4 linked regions of the Pelodiscus sinensis genome follow. The protein of the gene in region 2 purifies or fractionates together with the protein of the main gene of each other region. This does not show direct contact. Links are inferred from orthologs where the notes say so. Each region holds a gene or a part of one and is shown on either strand. Other genes may lie near its edges.

Evidence for each region.
Region 1: the proteins of SOD1 (region 2) and HEXB purify together in Homo sapiens (affinity purification with mass spectrometry; 3 studies listed by BioGRID and IntAct, with this or other methods). This does not show direct contact. The link is inferred for Pelodiscus sinensis from reciprocal best matches to the Homo sapiens genes SOD1 and HEXB.
Region 3: the proteins of SOD1 (region 2) and PRDX2 fractionate together in Homo sapiens (co-fractionation; 3 studies listed by BioGRID, with this or other methods). This does not show direct contact. The link is inferred for Pelodiscus sinensis from reciprocal best matches to the Homo sapiens genes SOD1 and PRDX2.
Region 4: the proteins of SOD1 (region 2) and TKT purify together in Homo sapiens (affinity purification with mass spectrometry; 3 studies listed by BioGRID, with this or other methods). This does not show direct contact. The link is inferred for Pelodiscus sinensis from reciprocal best matches to the Homo sapiens genes SOD1 and TKT.

Annotation. Positions count from the first base shown.
Region 1 is NC_134716.1:83,964,109-83,972,208, reverse strand, and holds the start of HEXB (beta-hexosaminidase subunit beta), read right to left. Parts: upstream 3,196-8,100; 5' UTR 2,928-3,195; coding exon 2,653-2,927; intron 1,692-2,652; coding exon 1,540-1,691; intron 1-1,539. UniProt on the Homo sapiens protein: Hydrolyzes the non-reducing end N-acetyl-D-hexosamine and/or sulfated N-acetyl-D-hexosamine of glycoconjugates, such as the oligosaccharide moieties from proteins and neutral glycolipids, or from certain mucopolysaccharides.
Region 2 is NC_134711.1:182,146,664-182,154,089, reverse strand, and holds the start of SOD1 (superoxide dismutase [Cu-Zn]), read right to left. Parts: upstream 3,273-7,426; 5' UTR 3,189-3,272; coding exon 3,114-3,188; intron 1-3,113. UniProt on the Homo sapiens protein: Destroys radicals which are normally produced within the cells and which are toxic to biological systems.
Region 3 is NC_134729.1:13,226,218-13,234,239, reverse strand, and holds the start of PRDX2 (peroxiredoxin-2), read right to left. Parts: upstream 3,285-8,022; 5' UTR 3,131-3,284; intron 2,296-3,130; 5' UTR 2,293-2,295; coding exon 2,190-2,292; intron 1,486-2,189; coding exon 1,332-1,485; intron 387-1,331; coding exon 264-386; intron 1-263. Other genes in the region: RNASEH2A (ribonuclease H2 subunit A), read left to right, coding at 4,691-4,817, 5,362-5,433, 5,751-5,877, 6,148-6,235, 6,508-6,645, 7,008-7,095, 7,602-7,725.
Region 4 is NC_134721.1:30,856,655-30,864,135, forward strand, and holds the start of TKT (transketolase), read left to right. Parts: upstream 1-4,193; 5' UTR 4,194-4,437; coding exon 4,438-4,544; intron 4,545-7,481. UniProt on the Homo sapiens protein: Catalyzes the transfer of a two-carbon ketol group from a ketose donor to an aldose acceptor, via a covalent intermediate with the cofactor thiamine pyrophosphate.

The sequences.
Region 1 (8,100 bases), on a different chromosome or scaffold from region 2:
ATTAGGATGTAAGTGTTGTCAATTAACTGATGAGCAAATGCTTATTGGTTAATGCTACAGACTACATGCATTTCTCACCCCCGCAAGTACATTTTTTTGGCAGGCTGGCCAGCAGCCCAGCTCACGCCCAGCTTGTGCCAGGTCTGGGACTGATCCCTGCTACAGCTCTGCATTTCAAGAGAATTAGGAGCCAGGTGGGCAAGTAGCCTGGCTCTGTTCCAGCTCTCATCGAGGCTGGGAACTCTGACTCCTTCCCCTGGACAGAGGCTGCTGCCACCCTACACTGCTGCCTCTGTGTCAGAGTCAGCAGCGCAGGGCTACAGGCAGCCGGTCTGCAAGGGAAGCTGGTACAGAGGCAGCAGCGCTGAGTGGCAGGGGCCTCCTTGGGAGTGGACTACAGAATAGTTGATTGACCTCATGAATTCTTATAGGTTAATGGACATTTCATTAACCGATATTTAACGTCCCTATTAGTTACTACAGGATCTAACACTATCATAAGTGGAATGTCCACACTTAAGCAGCCTTTACAATGAACACCCCACTGGTAAAGGTATAAATAGCAGGGCAGCCCATGAGTTACGGCTTAGGTGCATATAGCACTCTGCTTTCCTGAGTCCTAGGGTGTATACCATACATGGTGCTTTATGGACCAAAGCAATGGGCTTAAACTGCAGCAAGGGAGGTTTAGGTTGGACATTAGGAAAAAGTTCCTAATTGTCAGGGTGGTTAAACACTGGACTAAATTGCCCAGGGAGGTTGTGGAATCCCCATCTCTGGAGATATTTAAGAGTAGGTTAGATAAATGTCTATCAGGGATGGTCTAAACAGTATTCGGTCCTGCCATGGGGGCAGGGGACTGGACTCGATGACCTCTCGAGGTCCCTTCCAGTCCTAGTATTCTAGGATTCTATGATTGTTTCCTGTATCTATGCTGTGGTAGCATCCTATTACTTCCATGCTGTCTGAGTTTCACCCTGCCATCAGGAAACACTGCAGAAGTGCTAAAAGGGTCTGGCAGTGGGGAAAAGTTCTGACAGCTGAAGCTTTCGCAGTGACCACAGATACAGCCTGCCTTTCACTGCGATGCAGTGCTGTATCCTATGCGCTGCCTCAAGCATGGAAAAGCTTAGACAAAGTGTAAGACTTCCACCATTTAACCTGTTTATCTGGAATGTAAACTGAAGAAGTGACTGACCAATTTATCTTCTAAGACAAGATAAAAACTCATCAGGCTATAAAGCAGCAATCAGTGTCAAGCTGCTGCAACCGTGAGGTTCGCAAGATCTTTTTATTCCTTAAGTGAACCTATTGTTACTCAGTATCATTTGTAATCCACCTTTAGATAAGTTGCTGACTGTTACATTCCAATGATATGTGTGCTTGGAAAACAAGTGCCAGTGAGGAAATTGAGTGGAACTTAAACTTACAGCTGTGGAAGGAAAAAGCAGATCTCTAGAAAGCTGGAATGTATGATTGTAATGGACTTTTTCCTTCACTCCCCTGCTATCCATAGTTCATATCCTGTCAGATACTCACAGGCCTCATTAGACGTGATGTTGGGATAATTGTCACACTCAGAATCTTTGGAGCTAATTATGACTTGAAGCTGCAATAACTCTGTTCCAGCATGAAGCGGCCTTTGACCCCGATTTTGCCATTGGGAATAACCAAAGATGTAATCATAATATCTGCACAAAGAAGCAAAACCAAAAAAGGAAGCTTTGAAGTGAGTAGTGGGCTCTCTACCCCACCCTTGGTCCCCACATTCTGTGCAATGGAGCTAGGGAAATTCTGTTCAGGGAATCACTAGGGATGTCAACATGTAGACAACTACATGATTAATCCATAAGCCCAGGCTTCCCCCTCAGTATCAGAAGCAGCAAGGTGGGGGAAAGCAGTAGCACTCAATCTGCTTCCCCCCTTTTGCTGCCTCTGATACAGACACAGCAGTAGGAGGATCAAGGAGGCAGGTGGGAGCTGGCTTTGCACACCTGCCTGCTCCTCCCTACAGAGGTCGGGGAGAGGCAGGCAGGAGCAGGTGCTGGGGGTGGGAGTGGGAGTAGGCCCAGGCTCCCTGCAGACAGAGACTGCTCTGCAGCAGCGCCTATCCGTGGGGGTCTGAGCTCCCTATGGACAGGGGCTGTTGCCGCACAGCAGTCTCTGTCTGTAGGGAGCTCAGGCCACCACCCCTGGGACAAGGGATGCTGCCACCTCACACTGCTGCCTCTCTTTTTAAACTGCCTCCCCTCACAGTCTGACTTTCAGCTCCCCTCTCCTGCTGCTGTCCCTGACAGAGGCAGCAACTTGGGATGAGACGGGCTCCTGGGGCCAGAGCTCACAGGCTGCCAGGCTCACCTGTGGGGATTACTGAATAGTCGTGTACCTGCTAACAACCCTAGGAACCAGGGCCACCCACCAATGAGCAGCTAGTTATAAAACCAATCAGGAGCCCGTCCGCAGAGGCTCAAAGTCCAGCTGCCTCTCCCCTCCGATGCGGTTGCGCCTAGGAGAAAGGGGAAGTCGCCCTCTGCTTTTCAACCCCGCACAGAGAGCGCCCCCCCTCAGCTGAGCGGGGCCGGGCGGGCTACGGAACAAGCCCCCGGCTCCGCCGACCCCGCCCGGATGGCAAGTGCCGGCCGCGCCCCTCACCTGCGGAAGGCGTCCTGCAGGAGGGCGCAGCCGGGCCCCGCCGTGGAGCCCGGGCCGTGCACCAGCTGGAAGCGGCTGGGGGCCAGCTGGAGCTGGCGAGGCAGGATGCTGAGCGAGCGGGGTAGAGGCCAGAGGGAGCCGGAGGGGGACTCGCCCGGCTCCAGCGGCTCCTCCTGCAGCAGGGGCTCGGGCAGCGGGGGGCGCTGGTGCAGGCTGGAGGCGGCCAGCGCGGCGGGGGCGCACAGAAGCGCCAGGAACAGGCAGGCGGGCTCCATGGCTCGGTGCTGCCTTTGCGATGAGCGCGGGCGGGCTCAATCGATCCCCGGGCCCCGCCTCCGACCCGTCACGAGGCAGCGAGGCGGAGCCGGGCTCCCTGCCTATGGGGCTGGCGCGGGCGCGGCTTCCCCGTGATGCTGTTACAAGGGCCGATTCCTCCTTCCCCCAAACTCTCAGGCGCCGCGCGTTGCCTCGACCGGGACGCCCGCCACGTGTCGGGTCAGCGCGCTGGGCTGCTGCCTCTGGTGGGGTTGTGTTAATAATTCTCCTGGGCGTGAGTGCCACACCCCGCCTTGGAAAGCGAAATGCCTGAGTTCCTGGGGTCGGACTCTTCTCTGCCCGCCCCCTTTTCTTGCCCTTTAAAGAGGAAACCCTCCTCTCCAGTACACTTGAGCAAAGCCTGGACCAAGTGAATGGGAGAAGTTGGTGGATCTGGTTACCCTGCTGCAGCAGCAAGTGACTCTCATTTCATCGCAGCTGGAGTAATGAGGATGACTAGTCCAATAGGCACTTCTGCATGCCTCCTTTGAAATGTACTGGAGCCCCTCGTGTGACTCTCGAACATTTCAAAGGAGGAGTGCAGAACTTTGTGTGCTGCATGGGGTCAGCGGGAAGTCCTGGTGGGGGCTCTCGCGCTTTTCAAAGCAGCAGCGCAGCATGGAGACTGGCGTCAACAGGGGACTCGGGACGGCTGCTTTTGTGGAGAAACTTGCCAGTTGTCTATACTGGCCGTTTGAATTTCCGCAAGAACACTGACTTCCTACTGTCTGAAATCAGTGGTTCTTGCGGAAATACTATGCTGCTCCCGTTCGGGCAAAAGTTGTTTTGTGCAAAAGCTTTTGCGCAATAGGGCCAGTGTAGACAGCTCAGATTTGTTTTGTACAAAAAAGCCCCAATCGTGAGAATGGCAATCGGGGCTTTTTTGTGCAAAAGCGCGTCTAGATTGGCATGGACGCTTTTCCACAAAAAGTGCTTTTTGCGGAAAAGCGTCCATGCCAATCTAGACACTTTTATGCAAATGCTTTTAACAGAAAAGTTTTCCATTAAAAGCATTTGCGGAAAATCATGCCAGTCTAGACGTAGCCACCAGGTTCCAAACCTCTCTGAGGCGCTTACCTTCTAAACAGGGGCTATAAAATCAGTTGTAAGAAAGGAGAAAACTCCAACAAGGTTTTTCCTCATGCTCACATACATTAATCCTAATTCTCTCTCAGTCCCCAGGGAGAGCCCTTGAGAAGGAGCCCTGCTGCTGCAAAGCCATGGGAGTCTTTGAGGTTGCCCCTGCCTTTCACCTCTGTCCTGCCTGGCTGTTGTCAGGGTCCCTCCCCACTAGTGTCCCCTAATAGGCTGAGGTCTTGCAAGAGGCCTTTGTGATGTCACTGCCACACTCACCTTCCCTTGTAAGGCTGGTGTCCTGACCTTGGCAGCCTCTTTGAATGTTTGACTGGCTTCCCCTGGATCATCACGCTTCATGACGGCTGAGTCTGGGGATGAAACTGGATGTACAGTGAAGCCTGAGAGGCTGCTCCCTATGCCACACTCGGTTTTTCATTTTCCAGTTGACTTTTAAGGTCAGAAGGGACCATTAAAGCATCAAATCTGACCAGGGCTGGCCCACAACATTTTTGGCACCTGAGGCGGGGAGCTCAAATGATGCCCTCATGCCTCCTTGCTGCACCAGCAGCAGACACAATTTTCTACACTCTGGGTCCTAATGGTGCTCCCTCTTCCACACACACACACACTCTGGCACCTGAGGCAGCCACCTCAGTTTGCCTCATGGTAAGGCCAGCCCTGAATCTGACCCCTGATATCCCAGCCCTTCTGTAAATCATGGTTGCTATGTTTTTATTCAAGCACACACTACAAAGGCATCTAGTATTCATTAGAAGACATCAAGAAATGGAGGATCTGTCACTTGCTTTGGTAGTTTGTTCCAATGGTGAATTCTCAGCGTGAAGAATTTGTGCCCTATTTGTAAGATGAATTTGTCTGTTTTCACCTTCCAGCCACTGGTCTTGTTCTGTCTTTTTCTGCCACACTGAACAGCTTTTTAATATCTGACATTTTCTCTCTAGGAAGGCACTTAGATATGTCAATGAAGTCACTTCTCAGCAGAGGTAAAAGTAAGGCAGTGCACCCTGGTGCGTCACTCCAGTAAGAACTGGCTGTGCTCCAGCAAGAGCCAGCTGGGGCACTCTACCTGTGTGAAGGGGCCAGCTGGGGGCATGCTGTAGGAGATGATGCAGTGTGTGGGGCTGGCTGCTCCCCTGGCTAGTCCATCAGTGCATACTCTGCTATGTGCCCACTCTTGGCTAGCAGGTTCTCCCATGCACACCCTTACCCATTTCCAGCCAGCACTGGCTGGTGGCTGCAGTGGATGGTGAGCATGGGTAAGCAGTGGCTGGTTACATATCACCTGTGCTGCCCACCCAGCTCCTCTTTACATGTTTTCCCTCTCACTATCCTCTCCCTGCTGTGCCCATTCACCCTCCTCCCCAGCCCCCTTCTTCTCCAAATTCCCCCAGCAGGGGGCGTCCCACTCATAGTGCTATGACCTATGTGGAGAATCAGCCACAGTCAAATTATTCAGCTCACTAACAGCCTGTCTGGCAGGCTCCTTCCTTCCCCAGCTGCCTCTGGTTGCACTGGGACTATGGGCGTCTGGTAGCCTAGGCAGGGGAAGGCTTTGCCTTACCAAACAACCAGGCATGGCCCTGCCCACACTCTGCCCCCAGAATGCCTGCTGTAGGCATTCTGGGGTCGGAGTGTTGCTACCCCCAGCACCTGCCCTCCGCGCTGATCCAGACCAGGGAAGCTGGGGAAGCATGCCACCCTCCCTCCCCAGGCTCTGGGATCTGGGGAGGGCGTGGGCCAGCTCGGGCTACGCAGCCTCCTCCCTCCCTGGTGCTCCGGGGAGGCTGGGGCATGCATGCTCTTCCCCTTCTTGTGATGGTGGGAGGGCACGTGTGTGTTCGGTGCACTTCCCCACCTCCTCTCCTCCCCATGGTGGGGGCAGGGCCTCAGTGGAGGGGATGGGGCTGTAGGTGAGACTGGGTCCTGCCTGGCTAGCTTTTCCATGGCTAGCACCCAGGGAGAGCTCAAGCTCTCTGTCCCAGGGCACTGGCCTGGAAGAACCAAGCCCTGCATGTGCCAAAGCCCCACATGGAGTGGCAGAAAGCTTCTCCACCTCTCAGTTAGCTTCCTCCCCACCACTCCAGAGCCTATTTCCAGCCTGTTTATGACCGAACTCTGCATGTCCCCAGCAGGGCCGGCCCGAGGCATTCTGGCGCTCCGGGCACGGGTGTGCGGCGCCGCCCCAGGGCGCACGGCACATGCACAGGTCCGCCCCTGGGGAGCGGGCCCGCCCTCCTAGGGAGTGTGGGCCCGGCCCCGGGGTGCATGGCACAAGCGCGGCCCAGTCCAGCCCGGCTGTCGCTGCTGGTGTGCGCACCGGGCTGTGTAGGGCCCCATGGCCGTGGGGGGAAGGGCGCTGCTGGCCGGCACCGCGGAGGTGCGGGTGGGCCAGCACTGCAGGAGCCGGGCACGCGGCACCTGATGGCAGCTGTAAGGGAAGCCACGTGCCCCTTACAGTTGCCATCAGGTGCCCCCCATCGGTTGGCGCCCTGGGCAGCTGCCCGGCTCGCCCATGCCTCTGTCCTGCCCTGGTCCCCAGAGAGAGGTGCTCCACACCCTCTTCACATGCTGCTCACTGTCCTAGGTCTGTCTCATCCCCACGGAGTGCTGGGCTGCACTGTCCCTTATGCACCCTCCCAAGCTGAGCCACCAGTTCTGGCCAGGTTGGCTGAAGCTCCTGCAGTCCGGTTTCCTGGGCTCTGGTGCTCCATGCATCCTTGGGGCTTAACTCCTTCCTGCCTGGGCTTTAGCCAGGGAACAGGAGGTGGCGAGGTTGTGTTGGTGGCCAGCAGCAGGTTGGAGATGTGAGCTGCCTTTCTACACTGCAGGCAGGAAGGGACAAGCTGCTTCTGGCGATAGGAAGGCGGGGGATGGTAGGGGACAGATGACCTCTGGAAAAACATGGGCCAGGTCATCCCTACCTCCACCCCCACCCCTATTTCACTGGAAGCAGATCTCAACCCTTCCCTCCTGCACAGTATGGAAAGGCTGCTGCTTGCCATGTTCTGGTGTGAACCCCAACAGATATTTGCAGAGGGGTCATGTGACCCTGCATACCCCACACATGTTGCCTTGAGAAGATCAGGTGCCAGGAGACATGGGTCCTTTCCAGGGACCCAGCCAGGCATTGGAGAGCACTGGGTAGGAAAGGGTGGGTCACGTTGGCCAGTCACTTCCATATCTGTTTGTGAGAGGTGTACCTGAGTGTGTGTGTGTGAGTGTGAGAGAGAGAGAGAGAGAGAGAGCGCAAGCGCTAGCTCCATGCAAACCTCAAAGATAAGAAAGGATCTAAAAAGAGTACAGCTAGCTAGGCAGTATTTCTTTTTAACAGGGGCCCGGTCAACTTGATATTAATTTGAACATTTATACTGCATAGTTCTGATTGATTGGCATTGAACTCACCTGAATGCAAACAGTTTTACCAGGTGTCCCATATTCAGCATAGGAAAATCTGGTCACTCTATTTAAATGGATCTTAAATCCATACTGTCAAAAGTTGCCTACTTTTAAAAGCAATTATCAGAGAAGTCAGGAACTGTGATGAGTGTGGTATAAATAACTGGCCAGGTAGACATATGTAAAAAGTCCATAAACAGGGTCCGCCTTCTTTATGTTATTGAATCTTGTATCTGGTGAGATTCCCACAAACAAAAGCTCCATTATAACCAGGTAAGCATGAGTAGGAGAAAGACAGCCACACCAGTGATTCAAAACAACAAACTGCATCCTCAAATCTCCCTTAAGAGTACTAGAAATTGCCAGCACACATGTGACATGTCCATGTACTTTGGCTAAGGTCAGCATTGAGGTTTTGTGCTGTAGTGCATGTTAGTGATGTGTGTAGTATGTGAGTGCTGTGGTTATTTTAACTTTTTAGAGGTAAAAGGAAGTTATTTGGAGAAGTGTGGGAATGGCTAATGGGGTGTGTGGGTGGTGAGACATCAGGGGTGTCATTTTTGTTCCTCCTCCCTATGAGTTTTCAGGATGCGATATAATCACATATAATGTTCTATACCCTGACACAACTTTCTCCCT
Region 2 (7,426 bases):
GGTGCCAGTAAGTTGAATAGGGATGCAAGATCTGGGCAGGAAGTGAGGTACAGGATGGGTAAAGGAGGGTAGGGTCTAGGAGAGTCTGATGGCAGGAGAGGTGGGTGTGGTGGGGATGGGGGGGGGGTTGGGGGAAGTAATGCAGAAAGGGAGAGGGTAAGAACTCAGCCACACAGCTAGTTGGGGAGGGAGGCAAAGAAATGGGGAGTAAAGGAAAGCACAGCTTCTGCTAAGTAAAATTGTATCCCCCTCACATCTTCCCTCTGCTCCAGCTTTGCTCCTCATAGCACCGTGATGACCCAATACCTCATCCCCTCCCATTCTCCTTCATCCCTCCTACCCCCCATGGGTGGGGAGGGGGTAGATGAGAGTCACTTCCCTGCCTGGCTCAGCCCTTTGCTAAGGCTCACCTTTCACATGAAGGCTGCTGCTCTGGGGCTAGGGCAGGTAGAGCCTGTGGGCAGGTTCTAGTCCAGGTAGGCACTGTGGGGCACTGGGGAAGGGGAACCCCACCCATGCACACACCCCACGAGGAGCAGCACAGCCAGGACCCTGCCATCCCACAAAGGTGGCAGCAGCTTGTCACCAGCCACCCAAGCCTCAGATCTGCAGAGCAGCTCCAGCCCTGTCCCAGAGCAGAGCCTGTAGTGAGAGGGAGTTAACTCCTTAGCTCCTGGGAGCTGCACACCCAGGCTGTGCAGGGGCAGCTCCAAGGACAGAGCCCAGTACAGGTCATGCCACCTGCTCTGCTTGCTGGGCCACCCTAGTCCCCTGCCTCCCTGCTCCTTGCCCTTCCAGCAGGAAGCTGGTGCTGCAGCTGCATGGCAGCCACAAGACTCCAGCCACTTCCAGGAAAGTTCCTATTGTGCATGCCATTCAAAATGGGCTCATGTCACACCTACTGTAGGTTACTGACCCCTGCTATTTAACAAACAGTAATTATTCTGTGGGATTAAGAAAGTTATTTTGGCATCAATATTTTGAGACCCTTGTCAAGAGCCACATGCCTTCAAGGGAGTGTGTGCAATTTCATGCCTTAAATTGAAGTAAGGTATTTTTAAACTCTTCACCTTGTAGTATAAATACTGTGATTTCCTCATCCTTAGCACAGAAGTAATCTTAATTAGCCTCAGTTTATTCTTGAGTTAGGTAAAAGATGTCAACCTTTGTATCATCTTCTGTTTCCATCCCTCTTTAGACAGAAGTTTACTAAACTGCCTATCTGCAGGCAAATTTAGGGTCTACCCAGGTGCTACATTTGGTAATGACTGAAGGCAAGAGTTACAGAGAATGCTGTCCAATAGAGATTTTCCATGGTACTGACTACTGCTTAACTGCTTTAAACCTGCCGAACATTTTCAAAAAGTGAGCCTAGGAGTTTAAAATCATTACTTTGTGAACCTTAAAAATAATGGACTGAACAGACAGCAGAAAAGCCCATTCTCACTTTTGCCTAATGAATGCAGTGGCATTAACAGGGCACACCACCACAAATAGTCCTTTACAATGTATGCTCACTAGAGAAGTAAAATCCTGTTTAATTAGTTAACTGGTTAACCAATTAAACAGGTGGGCGGGAGGCTATTCCACCACCTCAACCTGTGGCACACCCAGGCCAGAGCAGCCCCATGCCACAGGCAAAGGGCTGCTCTAGCTAGGCCCTGACTGGATCAGCCCATATGTGCTGGAGCAGCCCCCACCAGTTAACCCTTCACATACCTAATACTAACCAATTTGTTTCACTTTGCATTTTGCTGTCACCATTCCCAGACCTGCAGAAGAGCTAAGTGGTCTAAAACCTAGTCTCATCAACAGAAGTGGGGCCAATGAAAGTCACTCCTCCCACAAGTCTCTTAGCTTAAGATGTCAGTTATGAAACTACATTTGTCATGCAGTTTTAAGTGGCTGCCTCCCTTTACCAGGAACTACTGCTATGCATATTACTACTTGAGTAAAACTGATGGGTAACACATGCCTTCACCAACACAAGTAAAACTCACCAACACAAAATCCTTGTGTATGTTCATTTACTATTACCTTTTCCCAGGTTACCTTTAGTTTTCCCAGGTTACCTTTAGTTCAACCCAGAAGACACTTCAGTCAGAGCAGCTCTAAACTATCCACAACTTGTGCAATTGCTAGTTAAGAACACAGCCCTCCAGCAGCTTCATAAAAGCTTAAGTTCAATTGCTGTTTTGTTGCCACTATGTACACAGGCAAGCTGAGTCAGTCCTACCAACACTGTCCCTTATACACAGAAGACTTTGCTAAGTCTTCCAGAAGACAGACCATTGCAGCCTGTAGGACATGGGTTCCCAAACTGGGGGCATGAAGAAATTCCAATGGTGCATGAGGTGACCCCCCCCCCCCCCAAAGTTTTTCTGCCCCAGTCAGTTCCTTTTTTTGCTCAACAAGTTTTGCTGGGGCCTGAGCCTTTCCCCAAAAATCAAGAAGGGGGCGTGATGCCAAAAAGTTTGGGAACCACTGCCACAGGATGTATTATGCCAGTGCTAGTGACAACAGGGCCGAGCCGTAAGCCAGCCAGCACCCACATTTGGGCTTTAGTCAATGCGGTCACCAGCAGCTCAGCTCTCTAGGGCAGAGCAGACCTTGGGCTCGGTCCCCACTGATCCCAAGCAGCCTGGGACTGGCGCCTGAAAAAGCCATTTGGAGGGGCAGGCTTGGCCACATGGGTGGAGGAGCTGAGACCCGACCCAAGGAGCCCCCTGCCCTGCCACCCGGGCAGTCCAGGCTCCCAGACCGTTTCCCCCCCCAGCCGAGCTCCCTGCCGCCGCCGCTCGAGGGGAGCGGGCGGGATTTGTACTTTGGAACCAGCCTCTCGTGCTGCTGCGCCGGGAGCTGGAGCGCGCCCCGCCCGCCCGGCTCCGCAGCGCCGCCTGCGCCTCTCGAGCCCCCCCCCCCGGCAGCGACCTCAGCGCCCGGCCCCGCCCGCCGTGACTCGGCACTTCCAGCCGCTCCCCCAGACCCCGGGGCTGAGCTGCCACGGGGGGGGGGGGGGGGGGAGCCGCTGGGCTGCCACCGGGGGGACTGACTCCTCCCCCTCCCCCTCCCCAGCGGGGCCGACCCCGCCCACACCCCCTCCCCGGCCTGACCTGCTGCTCGAAGTTGATGACGCCCTTCACCGCGCCCTCCCCCTGCAGCACGCACACGGCCTTCACCGCCGCCATGTTCTCGCCGCAGCTGCGCGCACACACACCCACGGCAAGCACCCCGCCGAGCCTTTTATAGCGGCCCCGCGCTGCGTGGCCAATCACAACGCGGCCTATTTGCCCGCCTCGGGAGAGGCTCAGCCAATCCAGGCCACCGAATCCGCCGCCCGAACCCACCAATCGGAAGAGGGAGCGCTATCGCCCCCCCCATTCCTAGTCATGAGGGTGACCGACCTTCACTCTGCCTGGAGAGGGTGGGGCCACGCCGCAAAGGCAGCGGACGAGACCAATCCGGGGGCAGGGCTGTGGGAGCATGTCCTACCGCATAGCCCAGCCCCATCCTGCCCTCAGTGTCTGTCCCTCTTGTCCTTTGGGGTTCTTAGTCTTTACTGTGTTTTGCTGGGTGTAAGGCTGTGAGCTTCCAAAGTTACAAATGGGGGGACCTTGCAAAACACACAAGCTGATCTTTCTGAAGCTTTTATAAGGAGACTATCAGGTGATCAGTGTTTCTTACATTAAAAAAGTCTTGATTTTGGAGCATTTATGAAATAATACCTTTTCACTGTGCTGGTTTTCCACACCAGCAGCCTGTGGAGATGGGGCTACATTTCAATGATTCCACTTAGATAAGGCTAAAACAAAATACTGCTACTTCCTTCATTTGAACCTTCTAGTCAGCCAGCCACTACTCAAGCCCTTATATCCCTGCAGAGCTGGATTTTATTATTGTCATTAGCTGGGCACTTTTCACTCAGCTTCTAGGCTCAGCTACTTACTAATAACTAAGGCCCTACCTAATTTATGACCAGGAAGAAGGTGGTCTTTTGTGGGCTGGTCTTTTGTGGGCTTTTACCTTACGCTACACCAGTTTTAAGGGGGAAACCAAAGTCTGCTAACTGAGGGCCAAACTGCAGACAACAACACAGCAGTTACAGTGGTAATAGCATACCATGCCATCCTTACTGCTGTGCTGCTGCTAGCAGCAGCTCTGCCTTCAGAGCTAGGCTCCTGTCCAACAGCTGCTGCTTTCTGTGGCCATCCATCTCTGAAGGCAACACTGTTGCCTGTAACACTGCCGGAGTGAGGGTTGCAGTGCTGCACCTCCACACGCACACAATGGCCTTGCAATCTCCCCACAGCTCCTTTTTGCGTCTGGCTGAAATAATAAAATTTACTATTTTTAAAATCCTATGATAATAAATTGACCAAAATGGACCCTTAGTAATAACCCAGCTAACATATATCTCTCACTCTCATGGAACCTTTGGGACCCATTATTCCATCTTACCCAGATAGTCTACACTGCCAGTTCTTCCGGCAGAAAATTTGCAAATGAGGGACTCATAGCATATTTTCTGCCATTTCTTTTTGTGCAAGAGTGTTTTGTGCAAAAAGAAGCAGGGTGGATTTTTTTTTTTTTGCACAAAAACCCCGTTTTGCACAAGATCCTTATGCCTGTCCTTATTCCAGTCTCATGTCTGCAAGCATTGAGGGTGATAAATATGCACTCGGAATATCACAGGACACATTGAGCATGCTAGAAAGTAGTCCAGCTACATCCTTGCAGAATTTGTGAAATGTAGGGGAAAGGGTTTATGAACACCATAGAAAGCAGATCACAAGAGCACTTTCCAATATGCATGGTAGCTTGGGCTACGTCTACATTGTGCATTCTTGCGCAAGAAGATATGCCGCTTATTTGCAGGCAGAATGGCTCTTGCGCAAAAGCCCTTTGCGCAAAAATGGCAGCTCGTTAGGTATGCAAATGAGGCGCGTTCATCACCGCGCCTCATTTGCATATCTTGTTGCACAACAATGCACAGTGTAGACATAGCCTATAGATAAAATCCTGGCCCCAGTGAAGTAAATGGCACTGAAAAGAAGGGAGCGAGGATGTCATATTACCATTTTTCTAAATATTTCTTGCCAGGAAACTGATAGATATGGCCTGTTTCCTCACTAATACAGAATGTATGGTGTTTTATAATCATCCAAAAAATTTTGTATTTAACACCACAAACCAGTGGAATTTGCCAGTCAGTGGAAAGTACCGGAACTAGCATCCCTCATTTTGGAGCTTAATCAGTTGCTTGTCAAGTATGTCTCTTATGGCTTAAAGCCTTGCCTTGGAGAACTCAGACGTTGCATGGGCTTTTAATATGACATGGGGTAACCTTCTTACACACAAGAAAATAAATGTAAACAAGAACAAATTAAAAAACAGAGTATAAAACAGTCTGATTAAGAATGCCTTCGTCTCACTCAGCTTTCAGTCCCCTCTGTTTTGTAATGTCACAATTTCATGTTGCCATAAAATCTTCCAGGGTAGGCAAGACTTGAATTCCTACTGTTAAAAACGTGATAAACCCTTGTTTCCACTTCATTTTACAAACATTTTTACATCATAAGCCCAGAAGTCTGTTTTTTCCCTTTTCTAAGGCCACCTTTTAATGACTGTGATAGAGTGGGAAATAAATAGCTGTATCAAATAATGAATTTCATTTTGTATTATGAGGTGAACACATGTTTAAGGTTACTTGTACTGCATTCCAGATAGTTGCCCTGCCCAGGAAAGGCATTTGCAAACTCATTGAGAAGCCATCAATACTACAACCTGAGGCCAGTGACTTTGCTTTGTCTCCCAACTGCCGGAATAATGTTGTTACTGCACAGGGGCTCACAGGTGAGGCAAACATCACAAAAGAGGGGTAGTCTTTCCAATTCTGCAGAAGCACATGGACCAGAGACAGAGGGCTTGTCTACATTGGCAAATTACTGTGCTGTAAGTTTTTCACTCAGGGGTGTGAAAAAACACACACCCAGAGCACAACAAGTTACAGGGCTGTAACTTGTCAGTGTAAAGAGGCTCCCAGAGCTGTTAGTTACTACCCACGTGGAGTTGGTTTGCCTAGAGCAGTGGTTCCCAACCGCCAGTCCATGCACTGGTGCTAGGCCACAAACTGCTGGCTGCACACTGCCAGGCCATGCCCATGCCTTGATAGGCCTGTATGCAGGGGGTGTGTGAAGGGTGTGAACGCACCTCCGATGGTCCCTGCGCTGGTCCCTCCCACACCCTGATGGGGGTGTCAGGCCCTTGTAGGGTTGCCAGATGGTTTAACCAAAAATACCCAACATCCCCTTCCCTTCCCCCAAAAAGAAACAATGGAGGAAAAATTCTGGGGGGAGGGGGGGGGGAGAAGGGGGAGACCAAAGTTGTTGAGCAAAAAAAAAGACCTCAAAAGTTATTGAGCAAAAAAATAACAAAATAAATAAAATAAAATAGCATGGCCCTTTTAAGTGCGAGGGGGGAGAGGTTGAGCATTAAAACCCAGGAAAGGCATTGCTTCCCCTTGCTTCAGGTCTTTTTGCAAGCAAGTCTGGGACTCTGAGTCCAAGGGTGTGCACACTGGGGTGGGATAAATATTGGCAGCTAGATAATTTCCTTTTACCTCTGTTGTACTTTGTTAATTGATGTTATTCAGTGTTAATTTGTTAAAGTCTGTTTCTTTAAGTTAAGTAAAGGTTGTTTATTCTAATGAAATCTATTAGATGTATATTATTTATGATTTGTAATTGTTGTTCTGGAGTTAGATCCAGTTTATTGCTGGAATATGTATATTCCTGGAGGTTCCCAAGGCACACCAGTCAGTGTGTTATAGGGCCAGCCAGGTGGAGGCACTGCCATTATATGTTCTTTCTGAGCAAGGGACAGCAGCAAAGGGATGGATAGGGTTTCCCCAACTAAACAACATCACCACTAGGGTACTCAGGATCTCCTTTTACGTTAAAACCATCAGGTGCCCAGGCATACCTGTGAGTGTGACCTGCTCCTGAGTAATCCAGGGAAGGAAAAAGGGGGTTACATATGCATGTATATGCAACCACACTTAAGTTAGGGGGGGAGGGATAGCTCAGTGGTTTGAGCATTGGCCTGCTAAACCCCGGGGCTGTGTCTAGACTGGCAAGTTTTTCTGCAAAAGCAGCTGCTTTTGCGGAAAAACTTGCCAGATGTCTACACTGGCCGCTTGAATTTCCGCAAGAACACTGACTTCCTACTGTCTGAAATCAGTGCTTCTTGCGGAAATACTATGCTGCTCCCATTCGGGCAAAAGTCCTTTTGTGCAAAGCTTTTGCGCAAAAGGGCCAGAGTAGACAGCTGAGATTTATTTTCCGCAAAAAAGCCCCGATCGCGAAAATGACGACCGGGGCTTTTTTGCGCAAAAGCGTGTCTAGATTAGCCAGGGACGCTTTTCCGC
Region 3 (8,022 bases), on a different chromosome or scaffold from region 2:
ACTCCAGATGGGGAGGTCACCTCAGGGCAAGTGCCACCCTAGAGTTGGTATCTCACAGCGACTGCCTAGTCCCAGCACCCCCCCCATATCCCTGCCCTGGTGCCCCTCTGGGGCTCTTATGCCCCAGGTCAGTGTCCCGCTCACCAGACACCTCCACCTTGTGCTGGCCATGGGGGTGGAGTGACAGTATTAGTCCATCCCCCCCCCCCGCCCCCAGCAGCTCATGCACAAGTGCTGCCAGTCACCCTGCCCCCGCCCCAGACCTGTAGGCGATCCCCTCGTCCTCTTTCAGCACCCCGTAGTCGGTGGCCATGCTGTGGGTGAGATCTGACAGCAGGGGGAAGTTGATGGCACCCAGCCCCCCGTCCTTCCGGGGGGTGTTGATCCTACCAGGAGACAAGGGGGTTAGTCTCATGCTCCCTCCAAGCCTAGCCACATCCCTGCGCCCCCAATTCTCCCCCAAGTTTAGATCTGACCCAGCTCCCCACTAGAGGCACCCCAGGGAATGAGCTGCCTGACCCCAGGGGTGCTGTCTTGGGGCCACAGAGCAGACGTCACCCGGCCCTTTTCCAGCCATGGGCCAGACTCACAGCATCGGCAGCTTGGGGGCAGCTGCTCACATTAGGGACACCCGCCCCCCCCACCCCCCAAGGCTTGGAGCGGACACATCCATGTTAGACAAGATCTGAGGACCTGAAACAGTGCTCAGATGGGGGGCGCACAGGCTGGTAAACCCCCACACTGCACATGGGTCATTCCCTGCCACCAGGGCAGGCACATGCCAGATTAGCCAGCCACTCCCCACCCCCATCACGGGCCCGTCTCCGGCCGACCCCACTGGCGAGGGGTGATAAGGATGCTCTCAGAGGCCACCCCAGATAAAGCCAGCAGGACCCCGCCCCTCTAGGACAGCGGGTAACGGCTGCTGGATTCTAGCCCAGCACTTCACAGCCAAGGAGGGACGTACCCTGCCCCCGTCGGGCCAGGGAGCACGACACCGTCGGATGGTTTAGGAGGCTCTGGAACAGGCCGGGAGGGGCAGTTCCAACCCCCAGGGCTCTGATCCCTCCAACCCTTCCCTGCCCGAGGGGCCTGGTTAAGCAGGTGAAGGGAACCCCTGTCTCAACTACATAGGTTGCGCTCCAGATCTCACAGCCCCATTGCACCAGGGGGCCTGGTTTGGCACCAGCCAGCGGTGCCAGGCCCCCATAGCGCCGACCCGGCAGGAGCCTGCCCTGGCCTCACCCATCCCAGGGCACTTCCGTCTCCAGTCCAGGGCACCTGGGAAGGAGAGAGACTCGCGGCACTAGCCAGGGGCCCTGGCCACGCACCAGGCCAGGTGGCTGAAGTGGGAGTCCACGGAGGCGCCCAGGACCTGGCACTGCAGCTGGCGGAAGTCCTCGGCATGCTCGCTGAAGGCGATGATCTCGGTGGGGCAGACGAAGGTGAAGTCCAGTGGGTAGAAGAACAGCACCACATACTTGCCTGGGGGGGGGGGGGGGAAGGGGGACAGGTCAATGTGGGGGGTAGCAATGGTAGGGGGTGCCACTGATCGAGATGCTGCTTGGGTCTGGGGGGAGCCAGTCACATTGACTGAGGCCTTGTTTGCAAGCCAGCTGATGAGGGAACCCTGTAGCCAGTGGTGCTGGGATTGGCTAAGCACCAATCACATGCCAGCTGACCTGGTTGGCCAGGGAGCCCCCCCCGCCCCCATTTATTCTTTAAAGAGACAGCGCAGCACACTGGCCTGCACAGCAGTGGAAGGACAAAACTCCCAGGCACCCCCCCCCCCAGGGCCTTAACCCTGCCCTACAGGGACACCCCCCAACCCTCAAATGGGGGCCTCTTCAGTCCCCAGCTGCTCTGAGAGGCTGGACCCAGTCAGGCTGTCCCAAAACCAGCCAACTCATGTCACCCATCATCCAGTTCTCATCGCCCAGGGCTGGAGCTGAACTGGGCACCCAAGTCATGGCTGTGACCACACCCCGACAACCCCCCAGGCTGGCAGATTCCACCCTCTGGCACCAGAGTGCCCCAGTATTCCCCACCCTGTGCAAGCAGCGTTTCCAGGTAACCTAGCTGCAGCAGGGAGCAAGGGAGAAGCACTGGCCGGGGGGCGCCCGCTGCCTTCGGTCAGCACCCCAGGATTAGCAGGGCCTCTGCACAGCCCTTGGCCTGGTTCCTCTCACCTCTGTAGTCGGAGAGCTGGATCTCTTTGAAAGCCCCGTCCACCACGGCAGTGGCACGGAAGCCTGGGGCGGGTCTGCCGATGTGAGCGTTACCGCAAGCCATGTCCTGCGAGAGAAGCCGGGGTCAGGCTGGCTGCTGTGATGAGACCCCCAGTTCTCTGCAGCATTGCAGAGGGGCAGCTCCGAGCTGGACCAGACAAGCAGGTAGAGGGTGGATTTCCCAGCCCACTCCCTGCTCCGGTTTCAATGCGTGGACAATCCCAGCTTCAAGCCCTCCCCACTCCCAACCCATGGCTCATCACACCAGCTGTTTTAGCTTGGCACTAGGAATGCTGGCCCAGGGGGAGGAGAGCGTATTACCCTGCACTAGCTTGGCAGCCCCTGGGGTGGGACCTTTCGGCAGAGCCCAGAAGAGGAGCCATCCTTCTGCCCAGACAGGCACAGCTGAGTTGCTGTGAACCCTGCCCCCTCCCTCCATCAGCCACCCGTGGGTGAGTGGCACTTTGCACATACAAAGCACTTCTCATCCCAAAATCCTGCAACCCAACCCATCCAGGATCTGGCAAACTGGATGGAGCCGCTGGGGGGGGGGGGGGGGGGGGGAGCGGGACAATGGAGCGAGGCTGCAGCCAGCTCGGGGCGCACCAGCAAGAGCAGCCGCGTGGGAAGCGCAAGCCGGCAGCCGGGGCTGCAGCGACTGGAGGGAAGAGGATAAAAGCCCCCCCCCCCCCGCATTACAACCCCCACACGGGGATAGAGGCCTCAGAGCTTAGACTTCAAGCTGGACCCCCCCCCCTGCACGCAGGGGCTCCCGGGGCAGCCTTTAACCCCCCCCCCGCTTTAGAGCGGCCCCTTTGCAAACACGCAGCCTCGTGCACCCTACAGCGCCAAGCCCGGCTGCAGAAATGCCCCCCCCATGCCCGGCTGCGCGAGGCACCCACCTTGTCCTTTCCCGCGCGCGCCCACAATGCACCAGCACCTACCCCCGCAGCGCGTGCACGGCTCGCCCCCTGCGGCCTGCAGCCGGGTCTTATAGCCACCCCGCCCCCTCCCACGCCCCTTCCCCTCCGGGCTGGGCTGGTCCATTTGGAGCCGGGGGGGGGGGGAGGTAAAGGAAAGGGGTGAACTGAGAGATGGAGACCGGGGTGTGGGGCAGAGTTAGATCTCCCAGCCCAAGGGGACCCACCACCCGCATGACACGTGGAGGCGGGGGGCGTGGAGCCACGGATCCCCGCATTGCACGTGGGGGGCAGGGCTATGGGAGCCCCTGCGTTGCCCAGAGGGGGGCGGGGTTAGAGGCTCTCCCTGCATTGCATAGAGGGAGCGGACAGTGCTATGAGCCCCCCCCCCCGCATTGCACGCGGGGACAGGGCTATGCCCCCCCCCAGCATTGCACGGGGGGGGGGGCAGACACTCCCCGTTGCGGTGCATGCAAGGTGGGGTTGCAACGCTGCTCTGCAAAAGCGACAAGGAGTCCTGTGGCACCTTATAGACTAACAGATGGATTGGTGCATAAGCTTTCGTGGGCAAAGACCCACTTCATCAGATGCATGCATCTGACGAAAGATTGCGCTCCAATCCATCTGTTAGTCTATAAGGTGCCACAGGACTCTTCGCCGCTTTTGCAGATCCAGACTAACATGGCGACCCCTCTGCTACTTAATGCTGCTCTGGAATCCCACAGCCCATGACGGAGAGGCTCCCCTATGGGGCTAGCACCAAGCTCTGGGCTGACTGGGTCTATTCATCCCTGGTGGCTCTGCTGAGTCCGTTTATATTGATTCCCTTGGCCTGAGCGGCGGAGAGTTTCACCCCCCAGCCTCCGTGCCTCAGTTTCCCCACTGGTGCAATGATTCCGAGCCTCTTAGGCTTCGGAAGGGTGGGTGGAGGGGGGGATTAGGACATAATTTTAGGGTGGTTCCGGGGGTGAGGCTGTGGTTTTATGAATGGCCCTGTGAGCTGCACAAGAGTTTACCCATGCACATGCCCCGGAGCCCACATAACTCCCCCATGGCCCTCCCCAGATGCCCCCTAACTGCGGCAGCCCTCATTCCTAAAGGCCACCCCGTGCCCTACACAAGCACTGGTGAGCCCTGTGGGAATGGGAGTGACATGAGGCCTTCCCCCTCCGAGGGAATCTGAGCCAATCTCAGGGACTGTTCTGGAAGCTCCTAATAAGAATCTGTGGGGCTCAAGCCCCCGCCCCCCCAACTATCAGTGGTTGCTCTTAAAAATAGCAACGGGTGATTAATTCAATTAATCTGGTGTAAACGTATCCAGGAGCCCCGACACCCCCCCTACCCTCAGGCAGGAATAGAGTTCTGGCCCCCAGCTCCTGCTCTAACCGCTAGACCTCACTCCCCTTCTAGAATTCGGATAGAACCCAGGAGTCCTGCCCCCCCACCCCCAGCTCAAGCATGGTGCTGTCCCCTGTTTTAGAACTACAACTCCCAGGGGTCTGTGCGAGGCCGGCCCCGCCCTCTGGGCCGGGCGCGCGGAACATGGAGCTGGGGGAGTTCGAGCGGGACAATGCGGGCAGCTGCCGTCTGGGGTCCGCCGTGCCCCAGCTGTGCAAGGCCGGGCCCTGCTGCCTGGGCATCGACGAGGCCGGCAGGGGGCCCGTGCTAGGTACCGGGGGGGACCCCAGGATTGCACGGGGGAGGGGCTTGGGAAACACCAGTGGGGGCTGGGCAGGGGAGACCCCCCCCCCAGAGTTGCACGGGGGAGGGGCTTGGGAAACACCAGTGGGGGCTGGGCAGGGGAGACCCCCCCCCAGAGTTGCACGGGGGAGGGGCTTGGGAGACCCCCCCCGATATTGCATGTGGGGAAGCCCTCTGCATTGTATAGAGCAGAGTCCCTCTTCCGCGTCGCCTAGAGATGGGGGGCAGGGGCCCATCCTGAGTGATCGGGAAGGGCCCCTTCCTACCTGCTGCGGTGGGGGTAGCCCCCTGTAAAGTGAGGGAGGGACCATGGGGGTTGGAGCACAAGGTATCCCAGGATTTCGCCCCGTCCCTACTCCCTGGTGGGGAGGTGGGTCCAGCTGGGGAGCCCATAGCTGGCAGGGAATTAATAGCACCCAGGGAGATAGAAGGGCCCTGCCCCATTACCTCCCTCCCCATAGCCTGGGTAGGGCTGGTCTCCTCCTCCCCCCATGACCCTGTCTCCCTCCCAGGTCCCATGGTCTATGGTGTCTGTTACTGCCCCTTGGCCAAGCAGGAGGAGCTGGGAGCTCTGAAGATGGCAGGTAAGGACAAAAGCATCACAGGGGATGGGAGGCAGAGTTGGGGGGCACCCTGGCTTCCTGTGAATGCCCCCTGTGGGGAGAGATCTTAGGTGGGGGATTCCAGCCCTGACCACAGAGGCAGAGAGAGGGGGAAGGGTCTGGAGAGCTGAGGCTTGGGGTATGGATCTCGGGGTGGGGGGGGGAGAGTGGGGGCAGGGGTAGTGGACTGTTGGGGGGGAAGGGCCCCAGAGAGGGAATGTTGGATCATGTGGGTCCCCCCAGGGTCTCACTGAAGGCCGAGGCTTCCGACAGTCGTGCCCCTCTCCCCCACCCCCCAGACTCGAAGACGCTGACGGAGACTGAGCGGGAGAAGCTGTTTGGGACGCTGGACGGGGCCAGGGACTTTATCGGCTGGGCCCTGCATATCCTCTCGCCCAACCTCATCTCCACCAGCATGCAGCAGCGGTGAGAGCCCCGGGGAAGGAGGTGTGCATGGGCTCACCAGCCCCCCCATTCCCCCTCTGCCTGAGCCGCCCCCCCTAGCCAGTCAGGCCCCCCGCCTGGGGCTGAATCAGCCAGCGCTGAAAGGCCACGTGTCCCTGCCTGTGCTAACCCTCCGAGCCGAGTCCCGGGAGGAAGTGGAGCCTCCAAGAGGTTGCTCTATGTCCAGGCGGTGCCTGGCATGGTGGGGCCCAGGTCTCCAGCAGATACTGACCCCTCTGCTCTCCCGGCCAGGGCGAAATACAACCTCAACGCCCTGTCCCACGACACGGCCATCGGGCTGATACAGCACGTGCTGGACGCGGGCGTACAGGTGACAGAGGTGAGCAGTGTCCCCGTGGGGCAGGTGTCTGCCCCCCAAGTGTCCCAATCCCATCGCCAGCCTTAGCCAGTGGGCATAGCGCTGACATGACGCTTGCTCCCCCACTTCCTGCCACCTGTGCCTCAGTTTCTCTATGCAGCAACGAGGCAGCCACCTCCCCATGTGGGGCCCTGGTCCCAGCACAAGGTTTAGTGGGGCGGGGGAGAGGGAAGAGCAGTGTGTTGCCCATAGGCCTGGCTTCCACTCTCATGGGGTCCCCCCCACCCCGGCAGGTCTTTGTGGACACGGTGGGGCCGGCGGAGAAGTACCAGGAGAAGCTAAAGCGGCACTTCCCGGAGCTGGAGGTGACCGTGAGGCCGAAGGCTGATTCCCTCTTCCCCATCGTCAGTGCAGCCAGCATCTGTGCCAAGGTGAGGTTTTGGGGTCCTCTCTATGTTGTGGGCCCCCTCTTCAGGAGAGGGCTGGAGTTGCCAGACCTCCTGCCCTCCTCGGAGCACTGGGCCTGGGTGGGACAGGTCTGTGAAATATGGGGCACCCCAGATCCACTTATTGGGGTGCTACTGGTTGAACTAATGCGGGGATTCAGCTTCACTTCCTGTCCCAAACGCTGTGCGGCGGCGCAACAGCTCTTGCGCTCCTCCCCAGAGGTGGCTGCATCTCACGGCTGGGTGACGGGTCCCTGAATGAACAGCCTGGCAAAGGGGCGGGCTGGGGGCAGGAGAGAGTGCTCCTCGAGGCGCTGCCCTGAGCCGCCGCCTGTCTGCGTTGGCAGGTGGCGCGGGATCGTGCTGTGAAGAACTGGCGGTTCCTGGAGGATCTGGGGGACGTGAGCCTGGAGTATGGGTCTGGGTACCCCAATGGTAAATGGCCCTTCAGGGGCAGGGATCCGTCTGATCGCGGGGTGGAGCTTAAGATAAACCCTGGCCGGCCCATGTGGCTCCATATCCCGCCCCCTCGCCCTGTCTCCCACCCAGCTCCAGGAGTTACCTGCTCCCTTCTTTCACTGGGTCCAGGCTCTTGCACCTCTTACGGGCAGGGGGAGGGGGTCTGTGCTGCCCCCCCTCCCCCACAGCCTTCCTTAAACCCCCTTGGCTGCATCAGCCTGGATTTGCCTTCCAGAGACGCAGGCGAAGGTCATGGTGCTGAGGTTATGGGGCAGGGCAGTGATGAAACTGGGCGGAGAAGCCAGGATTGCTGGCTCCCAGCCCCCGGCTCTAACCACTAGACTCTTCTCCTCCCCGAGCCAGGGACGGAACCCAGGAGTCCTGACTGAAAAGCTAACGCCGCCAGTTGGTGGGGGTGGGGAAAGCAGCTGTGAATGGTGGTTTTGGGGGCTCCCTTGTTTTCATCTCTCCCTGTCCCCCAGACCCGAAGACCAAGGAGTGGCTGGCGCAGTGCCTGGACCCCGTGTTCGGGTACCCCCAGTTTGTGCGCTTCAGCTGGAGCACGGCCCAGACCATCCTGGAGAGCAAGGCGGTGCCGGTGCACTGGTAGGCGATGCAGGGGAGGGGCTGGCCTCAGTCTGACCCTGCCCCCCACGACTGGGTCCCCCCCACCGCAACAGTGATGGGCTCTAACAAGCTCCAGGGCCCACGGGCGCTGCCTGTAGCGGCTCGGGGGAGCTGGCTCCGACATCTAGCGATAGCCCTGACACCCTCCACGATGCCCCTGGGCCTGCTGCCCTCCTCCCCTGGCACGCGTGAGACTGGCTCAGCTCCCCTTCCCCTCTGCCTCTGGAGACCAGCTGACTCCTCCCACCCCCATGTGTGGGCTGGGGGAGCCCCAGG
Region 4 (7,481 bases), on a different chromosome or scaffold from region 2:
GAGTTTACTAGGAAATACTTAAAGGGGAGAAGAAATGCAAACTCCCACCTTGGGAGCAGAAGCTATGTCCTGAAGAGAGAGCCCATTATCTGGTTCATTGCCTATTCACAATCTCTACAGAGCAAACACCCAGATTGTGTCAAGGAAAGGCTACCTATCTGACACAAATCAGACATAAAAAATGATAACTCAAAAACTTATAACGGAACATTTTAACTTTCCTGAGCACCCAATCATGGATTTAAAAGTAGCCATTCTTTTACAAAGGAATTTCACCACACCATTACAGAGGGAGAGTGCAGAATTGGTATTAATCTGCAAATTTGACACTGATTCACTGGGCTTGAACTAGGGATGTAAGTGGGTAGTAGATTAGTCAACTACCCGATAAGCCTATCAGAGACAGGCAATGTGGGGAGCCGGCTTAAAATCCAGTTCCCCTCCAGCTCCGTCTCTGTGGGGGATGGGAGGGACACGGGACGCAGAGGCACAGTGAGGAAATAGCATGAGCGGGGACTCAAGCAATCCCCACTCCTCCTGTGTTTCCTGTTGCTCTTCTGCCTTTTAAATGTAGTAAGAGCCACGAGCAGCTCTTACTACATTGAAAAGGTAGGGCACTGTTGGAATAGCAAGCGCAACTAATCGAGTTGTTGATGGAAACTAAATTGATTACTCAAGTAGCTAATTAATCGAAATTTAACATCCTTAGCTCAAACTAACCTAGCATTAACTAAGTCGCCTCTGCTTTTAACACCTCATTGTTACATCAAAGGCTAAATATGGGACACACCTAGCCCACTTAATTAGCCTCATTAGCAGCGGTCCTACAATTAACAGATACCTTTTTTCTGTTATTTTTGTTTAGTCTCTTAGGTGCCATAGAACTACTCGTTGTTTTTAAAGTTACAGACTAACACGACTAGCCCTGTGAGACGTTCTATGCAAAGGTGCTATTGTTTTAAGCAAAAGGTGTAATACACTTGTAACCATATGGACTCTGTCTAGACTGGACAGTTTTTCCGGAAAAACTTGCCAGCTGTCTACACTGGCCACTTGAATTTCTGCAAAAGCACTGATGATCTCATGTAAGATTGTCAGTGTTCTTGCGGAAATACTATGCTGCTCCTGTTCGGGCAAAAGTCCTTTTGCGCAAAAGGGCCAGTGTAGACAGCCCAGATGTGTTTTCTGCAAAAAAGCCCCGATCGTGAAAATGGCGATTGGGGCTTTTTTGCAGAAAAGCGCGTGTAGATTGGCACGGACACTTTTCCGCAAAAAGTGCTTTTGTGGAAAAGTGTCTGTGCCAATCTAGACACTCTGTTCCGAAAATGCTTTTAATGGAAAACTTTTCCGTTAAAAGCATTTCCAGAAAATCATGCCAGTCTAGACATAGCCATCGGGTCTGAAGGACTGACTCCTACCACAGCTCTTTTGGGAGGTGGGATGATCTCTGATAAACTTATTAGTCTGTACGTTGGTCCCTTTCTTATTTTTTTGTGCAACGTTTTCACCTTACAAATGAACCTGTCTATTTTAGTGATAGAAATGTAGCCATGTTAGTCTGGTGTAGCTGAAACAAAATCCAGGACTATGTAGCACTTTAAAGACTAACAAGATGGTTTATTAGATGATGAGCTTTCGTGGGCCAGACCCACTTCCTCAGATCAAATAGTGGAAGAAAATAGTCACAACCATATATACTAAAGGATACAATTAAAAAAAAAGTGAACACATATGAAAAGGACAAATCACATTTCAGAAAGGGTACAGGGAGGGGGGGAGGAAGGTAAATGTCTGTGTGCTAATGGTATTAGAGGTGATAATTGGGGAAGCTATCTTTGTAATGGTTAAGGTAGTTGGTGTCTTTGTTGAGCCCAACACGTAGAGTGTCGAATCTTAGCATGAATGACAGTTCAGAGGATTCCCTTTCAAGTGCAGAAAGGACATTGTCTCAATGACTTAATTACCTGCATCCTACTCCAGAAGCCTTTCAAATCTGCACTTGAAAGGGAATCCTCTGAACTGTCATTCATGCTAAGATTCGACACTCTACGTGTTGGGCTCAACAAAGACACCAACTACCTTACCCATTACAAAGATAGCTTCCCCAATTATCACCTCTAATACCATTAGCTCACAGACATTTACCTTCCTTCCCCCCCCCCCCCCGCCTGCATCCCCCTTCTGTTCTGAAATGTGATGTGAGGAAGTGGGTCTGGCCCATGAAAGCTCATCATCTAATAAACCATCTTGTTAGTCTTTAAAGTGCTACATTGTCCTGTATTTTGTCTATTTTAGAAATGCTGTATAGTACCCTATAACTGTGAATACTTATCTTGTTCATAGTCTCTGAGGGGGAAACAAAGCAGGCCTCAAGAGGCAGTCTGACTTTCCGGGAAATTCAGTGTCTTTGGGGAACTCTGCAGCCTTGTAAAAAAAAAAAAAAACCTCTCAGTAATGAGGGAGAGAAACATGAATTGTGACTAGGGGAGCCACCATGTAGTCGACTACAGGCAGTCCCCGGGTTACGTACAAGATAGGGACTGTAGGTTTGTTCTTAAGTTGAATTTGTACGTAAGTCGGAACTGGCATCCAGATTCAGCCGCTGCTGAAACTGACCAGCGGCTGACTATAGCAAAGCCGCGGAGGACCCGGGCGGCGGGACTGCGGCGCGTCTGGGCGGTCCCGCCGCGGCTTTGCTCCGCATCTCCCTGGTCTGCTGGGGGCCCCCCCAAGCAGACCAGGAAGACGCGGAGCAGCTTTTCTCGCCCCGGAGGACGCGAGCGGCGGGACCGCGGCACGTCTGGGCGGTCCTGCCGCCCGCGTCCTCCGGGGCAAGAAAAGCCCTGTTCGTAAGTACGGATCCGACATAAGTCAGATCCGCGTAACCCGGGGACCGCCTGTACATGATTAACCAATAAGCCTAGGCAGCAAGGGGCGAGCAGGAGCCAGTGCCTGTGAGCAACCGGTTTAAAAGCTGGCTCCCCCCAGTGCCAGATCCACCTGCCCCCCTGACCCTCACGCTGCTGTCTCTGATAGAGAGGCAGAGGGTGAGGCGGTAGGCTGGAGCTGATATATGCAGGAAGCCAGATTTCAAGTAGGATCTCTACATGTATCAGCTCTGCAGACCCACCTTCTCTCTTCCCCTCCCCTGCCCACTCCCTCCTACAGAGGTGGGGGGAGGCAGGCAGGAGCCACTGCTGGGGGGAGCCAGTTTAAAAGCCCCCCCGGGCTGGAGCTGTGGCAGGCAGCTTGCACCATGTGCCAGAGCTGGGGCCAACAAGGCCCTAATTGGACAGTATCCTTTCCCTGGCTAGGATGATGAGGCAGGCCCTGAGGAGCAGCCCCCATGTGGCCTCAGGAAGGGCTGATGGTGGTCCCCCATCTTCTTCCGTGGCATGGATAGGAGGGGAGGCCATGATCCAGCTGTGTCAATCCTGGCCCAGCCCCTCATCTAGCCATTGCTGCCTGGGTGCAGCAGCCCAGCCCCATCCAGGCAAGGTAATCCAATCCCAGGGTTCTCTGCACATACTCTCCTTCCCACCCCCTAGCCCTGCCTCCTGCAACTCCCACACATCCCAGTCCCCTGCCCTGAGCCCCTCATACACATCAATCCTGATTCCTGCACCCCTACATCCCTTGTGCCAGTGACCCCAACACTCTCTGTCCCTGGGGACCAACCGGTTAAGTAGTAGTTCTGCAGAAAAGGACCTGGGGGTTACAGTGGATGAGAAGCTCGATATGAGTCAACAGGGGGCCCTTGTAGCCAAGAAGGCTAATGGCATATTAGGTTGCATTAAGAGGAGCATTGCCAGCAGATCCAGAGATGTCATCATTCCCCTTTATTTGGCTTTGGTGAGGCTGATTTTCCGGAAAAACTAGCCAGTCTAGACACGGCCATAGAGTAGAATGATGAAAGATCAGCTTTATCTAACGGTAAGAGGATGCCGGTTCTGCAATCCTACCCCTGTAGGGCTCCTTGGCTGGGGAAAGGCTGCAGATCTGCTGCGCCATCCCTGCCTTGTTGCGCTGCACGTGCCGTAACGAGCCGTGTCTCGCACGTGCTTGGTTTACAGCCTTGGCACAGCGCATTGAAACGCAGCCACAGTCAGTGGAAAGCAGCTTCTGTTCCCGGGGGGGGGGGGTCTAACTGGGGGGAGATCCTTTGCTCGTAGCCTGGGACTTCCTGCGGCGCTGCCGCCTAATTCCCGCCGCTACACCCCTCACCCAACCCCTTAATCCCGAGCGCCAGGCCCTAATCCCCATGGCAATCCCACCCCGTGCCCGGCCGCCGACCCGCTAATCCCAGCGGCAGCTCGGGCTGGCCCCGCCTGTGGGTGGCCCCACGGCGGCCTGGGTGTGTCTCGCTGGAGCCGGCAGGCGGCGCGGACGGTCCCTCACTCTGCTCCTAGGCCAGGCCCCGCGCTCTCCCGCCGCACCATGGAGGCTTATCACAAACCCGACCAGCAGGCTCTGCAGGCCCTGAAGGACGCGGCCAACCGGCTGCGCATCAGCTCCATCCGGGCCACCACCGCCGCCGGCTCCGGGTGAGTCCGGGGCTCCGGCCTGGCGCCGGCACCCGCCCCACAGAGCCCCGCGCTCCTCGCCTGCCTCCCGCGCCCCCCCTCGTGCGGCCTGGCACCCCCCCCACAGAGCCCCGTGCTCCTCGGCCGCCTCCTGCGCCCCCCCTCGTGCGGCCGGGCACCCCCCCCACAGAGCCCCGTGCTCCTCGGCCGCCTCCTGCGCCCCCCTCGTGCGGCCGGGCACCCGCCCCACAGAGCCCTGTGCTCCTCGGCCGCCTCCTGCGCCCCCCCTCGTGTGGCCGGGCACCCGCCCCACAGATCCCCGCGATTCTCGGCCGCCTCCAGCGCCCCCCTCGTGCGGCCGGGCATCCGCCCCACAGATTCTCGCATCTCTACTCCTCCCCCATGAGGCCTGGCAGCCGCCCCCCCCACGCTGCTTACTTTTCTCTTGTGCCCCCCTCCTGCGGCCGGGCACCAGCCCCACAGATTCTCACGCTGCACGCCCGCCTCCCGCACCCCCTTTGTGTGGCCTGCTCCTAGCTCTGCTTTCTTTGCAGCCTCCCCCCATCAACCCCTCCGTGCAGGCTGCCCTTCTGCAGTCCCCCTCTCACTGCCTCCTCGTGCAGCCTGTCCCCTGCTTATCCTCTATCACTACCTCCAATCTTAGGCCTTCCGTGTAATTCTTCCCAGACCCCCCTTCCTTCTGCCCAGTCCAGTGGCCTCCACCTGCCCCTTGTGTTAGTCCTACAACCTCGCTTTTTCCTCTGTCCTCCCACTTTCCCAATTTGCAGGTCACTTGGCTAGTGAAATGAAGTGGCCCAGATACTGCCCTCGGCTGTGGCTACACTGTCCAATACAGTTACTGGTTTTGAGTTCAATGGGGTCTTACTGGAGTAACTGAAAGCAGAATTTGCCCCTAGATTTCATTTTTACTGAGTTTTAAAATCTGCAGCAGGTGACTGCTGAACCATATGTAGGGAGTTTGTCTGCAGTGCTGCACGGTGTTTCTGGGAGCAAATGCACAGTATGGGATGGGCTGATTTGAGAGAATTTTCAGTATTAGGAAATCTGGAGTTTTGAAGAAGTACAGTAGTTGCATTTCCCAAAACTTGAAATGAGCAAAGGTTGAATCACTGTCCCTTTTAATGTGAACTCCTTGGTGCAGTTCAGTGAAGCCCTTCTGTAGAGAATTTGATGTGGAACCATTTTTTGCACAAATAAAAAGATACAGCTACTAAACAATTTGGGGTAGTATGTATGTATATATGGGTGGGAATATATGTTTAGACAGTGTTTAATTTGGCACTGTCAACACACTTTGCAGTTCATAGCCCTAGTACCTCAGGACTGCTGTTTGAGTAAAGTTCAGTGGAGTCCATTTTTGCATGGAGGGTTGTGTACTGTATTGGGGTGTATGCAAAGGTTTAGAAGCAAGCTATGTGGGGGAATGGATGCTTATATATGGGGTATGGTTTAGAGGCAAGCTATGTGGGGGAATGGATGTTTATAAAAGGGGTATATATGGAGTGTATGTGTGAGATAAGAGCAGTGATAAAAATCCTTCATGTTGGAGAGTTTGTTTAAAAACTAGTCAGTTTAAAGATAAGATAGATAACTGTTAAACATCAGGGCTGAACCTTCCTTCTCAGTGTCCTACCTGTGTGACTTTGGGTATATGTTCATGAAAGGGGGGATGGATTCCTTTGTGTGCAGGGGAGGGGCGGAGCAGACAGTGATTTGCATTTTGTCTTTCTGGAACATTGCTTCTTTTACTCATGTATTTATTAGCTTTGATGATGCAAGATTGGACAGGATTCAGGTTGAGAAAGCGTGCACTTAACATTTTGACAGCTTAATTATGACCCTTTTGGGGAAATTTGATTGTTAACAAAGTGTGTATAGGTTCACTGTACTAGTAAATATACTATGACTGGAAAGAAAGAAAGAAAGAAAGCAGGAATGCTGAATTAATCTCAGAACTAAAGAATTTATGCCTAGGGCCAAACCTTTTCATTTTGTGCCTCTCAGTTGGAACTAATTCTCTACAGAATTTCAAGTTAGCCCAAATGGGATTATCTGCAAAATGCCTGCATCTCAAATGGGCAGTTTATTAAGGCCTCTGGATGGGGTTTAGTACCAATTCCAGAGTTAGCCTTGCTTTGATAATGTTGTATGTATGGAAAAATAGTATCCATGTTTGTTTATACAAAATTAAAGCCAGAGTTTTGGCTGAACATCACACTTCAGCTTTTCATTGTAGAATGCTGACTCTGAATTCTTTTTTGCAATTTATATTTTATTTACTCCTTTGAAAGATGGTTTGTAAATGCATCTTTTCAAACAGAAGAATTGGACAAGTAGTCCCGTGGATACTAAGGCCTTAATAGGAAAGACTAGTCTACAACAAAATATTTTAAATCTGTCCAATTTACTAACATCTTAATTGTGTTTCTGGCATAAGAAATTTTTTACATTTTGTTTCTGTGTGTTGTATTGAAAGTTGATAGTTCTCTTTTGCTTTTTGTCGCTCCATATACACTGTGGCTACGTCTACACTGGCAGCTTCTTGCCCAAGAACTCTTTTGCGGAAGAGTTCCTGTGTAAAAACTCTTCCACAAGAGAGCATCTACACTGGCATGTGCTTTTGCGCAAGAGCATCCATGCCAATGTAGACGCTCTCTTGTGCAAGAAAGCTCTGATGGCCATTTTAACCATAGGGGCTTCTTGTGCAAGAAATGCATGTTGCCTGTCTACACCGGCCTCTTCTGGAAGAGCTCTTGCGCAAGAGGGCTTCTTCCTGAAAGGGAGCGTCAGAGTTCTCGTGCAAGGAGCCCAAATTTTCTACAGTACAACAGCAGTTTACTTGTGCAAGAATGCACAGCCATTGTAGACAGGCGGCGTGTTTTTGCACAAGAGCGGCCGTTTTCGCGCAAGAAGGCACCAGTGTAGACACAGCCACTG